Ovis aries: one gene and its partner. The protein of the gene in region 1 purifies or fractionates together with the protein of each later gene. This does not show direct contact. Links are inferred from orthologs where the notes say so. Each region holds a gene or a part of one and is shown on either strand. Other genes may lie near its edges. The genes, in order: FBXO7 and PSMB7.

Region 1 (3,034 bases):
GGCATGATATTTTCAACAAATATTTAAAATTTCCATTTTCAGAAAAGGCTGACGTGAAATTCATATCGGCTTGAGAATGCTAGATTGCATTCTTGAGAGTCCGTGTCACTCACTCATCCCTTCTCTGGATGTGTTGTTACTCCAGATTGGCACAGCTGCTGAGCTGCAGTGTGGTTAAAGACTAGACTGCCTTTGGCATTGTGTTCACAGCTACTACCTTATTCATGCAGGTAGAAACTGGTAGAAGTTCCCTTCAGTGTGCTAGCTTCTTTGTCTGCCTCCGTACTGTGGGAAAAGAGAAGTATGTATACATCTGTACAATGAAAGCCAGCTGGAACTTTGGGGATGTGTCCAACTCACTCACGTCTTGTTCTTATCTGTCTGCAGCTGTACAAGAAGAGGTACAGACAGAGGAAAGAAGCCCAGAGAGGGCGGCACGCGATGTTCCTGCCGTCATCCCCCCACCCCATTCCATTCTACCCCAGCCCCTTGCACCCCAGACCTTTTCCTCCCAGTTCTCTCCTCCCTCCAGGAATTATCGGTGGTGAATATGATCAAAGACTAACCCTTCCCTATGTCGGGGACCCAATCAATTCACTCATCCCTGGGCCTGGGGAGACACCCAGCCAGTTCCCTCCACTCAGACCACGTTTTGACCCAGTGGGCCCACTTCCAGGTCCTAACCCCACCTTGCCAGGGCGAGGTGGCCCCAGTGACAGATTTCCCTTAAGACCCAGCAGGGGTTGGCCAACTGACAGCCGGCTACCATTCATGTGACTGATTTGTTACCTCACTCTGGAGCTTGTTTTGGTTTTGTTTCTTTAAAACTACAGATGTCATTTTGCTGGGGTGCTACCTCTATTGTTTTCTGATTGCGATGGTGGGACTTGGACTCACAGAAACCTTTTATAAACTTATTAAGGTTGGTGCAAACATAATTGCGGTTTCAGACCATGAATTTTAAATCATAAATTATAACTAGGCTCAAACACATCTTTATTAATCAAAATAGGACCATTACAATCAACACATTTCTGCAAATGAGAAGTCCTATAGCATAAAAATCCATGCTTTGGGGTTTGATGAACTCTTGGAAACCATTTTCTGCCTCCTGCTGGTTGTGGAAGCGTTTCCCCTGCAGAAAGTTGTTCAGATGCTTGAAGAAAGTGGTGGTTGGCAAGAGGTCAGGTGAACGTGGCAGATGAGGCAAAACTTTCATAACCCAATTCCTTCAACTTCTGAAGTGTTGGTCGTGCTGCATGCGGTCAGGTGTCGTCATAGAGAATTAGGCCCATGCTGTCGACCAGCACCAGCTGCAGGCGTTGCAGCTTCCAGTGCGTCTCATCGGCTTCCTGAGCAGACTTCTTAGATGTAATAGTTTCGTCAGGATTCAGAAATTTGGTGGTGGGTCAGATGGGCAGCAGACCACCTAACAGTGACCATGATCATTTTTTGGTGCAAGGTTGGCTTTGAGAAGTGCTGTGGAGCTGCTTCTCGGTCCAGCCACTGAGCTAGTTGTTGCCAGTTGTTGTATAAAACCCACTATTCATCACATCACAATCTGATCAAGAAATAGTTGTTGGTACAATGAGAAGATAACACTTCAAAATGACAATGTTTTTGATTTTTGGTCAGCTCATGAGGCACCCACTTACGGAGCTTTTTCACCTTTCCAATTTGCTTCAAATGCTGAATGTCCATAGAATGGTTGACATTGAGTTCTTCAGCAGCTTCTCCTGTAGTTGTAAGAGGATGAGCTTCAATGATCGTCTCAATTGGTCGTTGTCAGCTTCCCATGGCTGGCCACTGTGCTCCTCATCCTTAAGGCTCTCGTGTCCTTTGCAAAACTTCTTGAACCACCACTGCACTGTGTTAGCAGTTCCTAGGCCAAATGTGATGTCGATGTTGCAAGTTCTTGCTGCCTGAGGACCCATTTTCGACCCATCTTGAATAAGAAAATCACTCAAATTAGCTTTTTGTCTAACATCATTTCCCTAGTCTAAAATATAAAATAAGCAAGTCATTAGCAAAAAAACATAAAGTGAGAAGTGCACATTAAAATGATGTACAACATAACCACATTTATTTAAGAATATTCCAATATCAAACAGCAATGTTTAACAATGCAAAGCTGTAATTACTTTTGCACCAACCTAATTGTTAAAGCTCCAGGAGTGGTATGGCTCACAGGTTACTTGCTCGACAGGGTTGGCCTTGGGAATATGGTTCCTGACATCCCCTCTCAGTTACCGTCTAGAATGCAGGTTACACACTGATAATGTTGCATACCAGAATAAAATATTAAGTGTAAATTACATGGCAGTCTTGACTTTTATTACAGAAAGATGTGTAATATTACAGTATTACTTGGACATTTGAAAATGATCAGAGAAGCTATTCATTGTCATCAGATTGCTGCAGGGGATTATTTTTGTTTTGTAGCGGCACCCTTTCTTCACGTGAAATTATTTGCAAAGGCCTGATCTATGGAATGAACACAGTAGAGCCAGTTTGGTTGAACTGGATGTGAGGTGAATGGACCCCCCCAGCTCAGCCCCCTCCCCCCCTCTCTGCAGCTGCTCCTCAGGCTCTGTGCCAAAACTTCTGGGCTCCAAAATAGCGCTTTTTGGCCACCATTGGGTTGTTAGGGACTCCTGTTTCTGACTTCTTCTGGAGTGGAGTTTGGGTTCTTTTTCCTTGTGTTTTGAATACTTGGAGCCTAACCTGTAAGTAGATGACGTCTTCTAACAACAAAGTATAGTGCTTTGAGTGCTGCTCAGGTACTTGTTCTGCAAAGAAACCCTCATCATTCGTAGAATATTTTGCTTTTAAGACTTAAAATACACAAAATTCAAGTTTTATTTTGCCTACAACAAGAAAAAGGTCAAACACAAATATCTTAGCATACAAACAACTATAGAAACATGCTACAGTGACAGATTAAAGTCTGAATCACAAAACAGGAATAAAACAGTATCTGCAGAAAATGGGAATATTGCCAACGTCTTCCTGCCTTTTTAAAAATTGGTTTTGC
Region 2 (3,827 bases), about 170 Mb from region 1:
CTTAATTTTTGTTGGATCATAATAATCTATATTATTAACCAATTTTTAAAGAGTAACAATATTGCCTGTTTTAAGATGTTTAATTATATGGTATTCTGTGGATCCTTTGGAGTGTGGAATCTTTAGGTGCTTGTGTTATTAATTCTGTAGGCTATATTCTAAAATAAATTCCTAGAAGTGGAATTGCTGGGTCAAAGATAGGAGCATTTAACGTTTTAATACATATTGCCAGGATTGTAGCCGAGAAAGATTGTTCTAAGCTGTCCTACCATCAGTTGTGTATGAAACTCATGGCCTGATCTTTAATGATTGCGTAGTATTCTGCTGTATAGCTAGGTGTATTAGTTTAGGTAATTCTGTTTCCACTTTTCTAGCATCATAAACAGTTACTGCAGTAAATATTCTTATGAATTCATTTCTGCATATTTATCCTTTTATATTTTTAGAATTAGATTCCTGGAAATAGAATTTCTGGATCAATTTTTAAGGATTTCATTGACTTGCCAAAATAGCTTAGACTCTTTTAAAGGCATCAAGCAGATTATGTTTTAGCTTGGAAGGAAACTAGCTGGTTATTGTTGACTTTAACTGAACAGTCTATTTGGCAGGAGATATATATATATATATATATATATATATATATAGTGGATCAAGCACTGGGCTAGGGTGGGAGTGGTGGGTCTGGTGATTCTCTGGCTTCTCACCCCAGAGTTCCAAGATCTACTCTTGAACCTGTTGCCAGCTCATGTGGCTTAGGACCAATTTCTTCCCCTGTCTGGGCCTCTCTTCCCTCTTGAGACTGCTTCTAAAATCTTTCCCTGCTCTTTATTTTTTCACTTATAAATGGAAGATTTGAAGTAATGAATTGGTAATCAAGGGATGCAGGAAGTATTGGACTTGACCTAGAGCACTTCCTGATAGGTAACTGTCTCAGGCAGTCTAAAATTAGGACTTTGGTTTTTGTGTTAATTTATTTGTATCAATTTTAATGATTGTATCATCAGGCAAATTCAACATGTTTTAGTTTCATTTTTCTTCCCAAAGAGCCAAAGGCTTACACTGGAGAACTTTAAAGCCAGCATGTTTATCCAGTATAGCAGTTCTAATGGTAAAAAAAATTGATCCATATATAGGGAAAGAAATCTGTAGAAGTGTAAAACCAACCAAGTAGAGGGTCCAAAGGAGCAAATATGTGCAGAATTAAACAGATGGGGTCAGGTGGAAAATGTCTCTCCCATGTTCCTGAGAGAGATGGCTTTAAACTGTGGACAGTAGCAATGGGTTTATAAACTGTCATGGAGTTATTTCATGGTTCACTTCCCTGCATAATGAAGTACTTTTTTCTTTTATTCAGTATGAGCTCTTATCTGCCATAATTTTGTGGATTTATTCAAGGGAAAGGTATTTTGACAAAAGTGATTTTCCTGTGGTGAGGTTGATAATTTGAACAGTTCTAGTTTAACGACATTTCACCATTGACTTGGAAGGGACCTTATTTTCGAATCACAGAGAGGTCTGATGGGAGGGGTATTCATGATCTTCGGAGTAAGCCACGCTTGGCTCTGAGACTTTCTAATGACTTTGGGTTGGTTTTTCCTTCTCTACAATAAGAACTATAGTGTCTTCTTTTGAAGGGAGTTGTGAGGCAGAGATGATGTAAGGCACATGGGTGCTTCATACAATTTACAGTTTTTTTTGACTGATAGATGTTCAAATATGTTTGCTCCATTCCTTATTTTTTTCCCCATCAGAACAGTAGCTATTTAATGAAGCAGTAGTAGTGAAAGAAAAACTTTTTGTTGTCTGACTTCTCGTGCAACTTTTGAGTAAGTTATAGTGATGCAATGTAGACTCATTTTTTTTTTCTTATGCATGCTCTGATCACCAGGTATCAAGGTTACATTGGTGCAGCCCTAGTTTTGGGGGGAGTAGATGTTACTGGACCTCACCTCTACAGCATCTATCCTCATGGATCAACTGATAAGTTGCCTTATGTCACCATGGGTGAGTGTAATGTTTCCCTGATGTTTCAGAATCCTCTTATTTACCAAAGTAGTCTCTAAAAGAGCTGGTTTATTTCCTGATAGAGGAGGCAGCACAATGTGCTTTGATTCCTTCTACAAATATCTGTTGATTTCCTTCTGGGGATTAGGCCTGTTTTGTCTGCTTGGGATATAGCAGTGAACAAAATTTAGACTTAAGTGTCTTGCCTACAAGGAGTTTATATTTTAATGGGAGTGGACAGACAATAACAACAGCTTTATGTTAGAAAGTGATAAATACTAGGAGAAAAAAACATAATGTAAGTGATATTATACCACAATTATGCAAGATACTACCTTTGGGGGAAACTGAGTTAACAGTGTACGAAAACTTGGTTTATTATTTCTTACATCTGCCTCTGAATTGACAATTATCTCAAAACAGAAAGTTAAAAGAAAATTAATGCAGTGTAAGGGGACTTGAGAATGTTGGGGTGGAAGCCAGATAATACTGTTAAACAGGAAGGTTACAGTAGGTTCGTGAAGAAGGTGAGGTTTGAGTGAAAGGGGCTCCCAGGCAGAAGGAAGACTGGAGGCCTGCCTTGGGGAACAGGCCTGGTACGTGCAGAGAGTTTTTAAGTGACAGAGTCTCTGTTTGCCGTTTAGTCGCTGAGGGATCCTGGACATTTAAGGTTCCTCTCTCAGCCTTGATTTCCTCACTCTGAAATGGTGTCAGTAATGCCCACCATGCATGCAGGGTATGATGATTAAAAATGATGTATGTAAACCATCTGACCCAATGCCTGTTCTGTAAATAGTAGCTACACTTTTTATGTCAGCTTTGTACATTTGTATTTTAGCTATAAACGCTAGATGAATATTTTTTTTTAATAACTAAAAAAAAAAGTGATAAAATTACATTAGAAGAGTTGGGATTTTTGAATTTAACTCTCATGCTCAATTTCTGAGTGAAATTTTTGCATATATCCAGAAATTTGAACAGGCCATGTGTAACCAGCGTTTTTCTAGATGTTGTTTAACTTTCACATTTTTTGCCTTGGTATCTTGGCTCTGCAGAGCCAGGGATAACTGCTGCCTTGAATAGTCTGAAAATTGTTAGTGTGAGACTTTGCTGTTTCATTATGTTTAATACTCAAGCCTCTTATGAGGTTTGTATATAACAGATGTTCCCTGTTTGTGAGAAGAATGATTTGCCCCCAGATACCATATGGAATAATTATTTTAAAATGAAGATAGACTAATTTTAGAAATGTTTTGAATTCTTTGTTCCATTTTATTTGTTATCTCCATCGAGATACTGTTTTTATTTCTCCCCATCTGGTGCCTTTAAATGGTAGTAAAGGTGCAATAGTCTTTTCTATTAAGTAGTTTTATTTCTTCTTTTTTTAATTAAAAGACTTTTCACACTTGCAAGAAGGTAACAAGAATGTACAATGAATAGTCATATATACCCTTGACTCATTTTTGTCACCTAACATTTTACCACATTCTTGCTCGCTCTCTGGTGCATTTTTGCTGTGTGTGTGTGTGTGTGTGTGTGACCATTCGAGAGTAAATTGTGGACACTATAACCCTCTACCTCAAAATCCTTTAGAATGTTCCCTTACATCACCTTGATGACATCATCAAAATCAGAAAATTTAACATTGATACAAGGCCTTTTCATTTTTGCGATGGGAAAATTGAGTTGGTTTCTGTTGCTTTTGAATTGTAGTAATTTGTCTTATGAGCATCATCCCAAACTTAGGAAAGGTTGTTGGAAGTGAGTAAAGCAGATTTGTGTCTGCTCATTCCGTTCCTGCAAGTCCGCTTTGTGCCCCGTCC

Evidence for each region.
Region 2: the proteins of FBXO7 (region 1) and PSMB7 purify together in Homo sapiens (affinity purification with mass spectrometry; 3 studies listed by BioGRID and IntAct, counting the BioPlex papers as one, with this or other methods). This does not show direct contact. The link is inferred for Ovis aries from reciprocal best matches to the Homo sapiens genes FBXO7 and PSMB7.

Annotation. Positions count from the first base shown.
Region 1 is NC_056056.1:176,715,479-176,718,512, forward strand, and holds the end of FBXO7 (F-box only protein 7), read left to right. Parts: intron 1-387; coding exon 388-777; 3' UTR 778-2,315; downstream 2,316-3,034. UniProt on the Homo sapiens protein: Substrate recognition component of a SCF (SKP1-CUL1-F-box protein) E3 ubiquitin-protein ligase complex which mediates the ubiquitination and subsequent proteasomal degradation of target proteins and plays a role in several biological processes such as cell cycle, cell proliferation, or maintenance of chromosome stability.
Region 2 is NC_056056.1:11,429,738-11,433,564, forward strand, and holds part of PSMB7 (proteasome subunit beta type-7), read left to right. Parts: intron 1-1,888; coding exon 1,889-2,004; intron 2,005-3,827. UniProt on the Homo sapiens protein: Component of the 20S core proteasome complex involved in the proteolytic degradation of most intracellular proteins. This complex plays numerous essential roles within the cell by associating with different regulatory particles.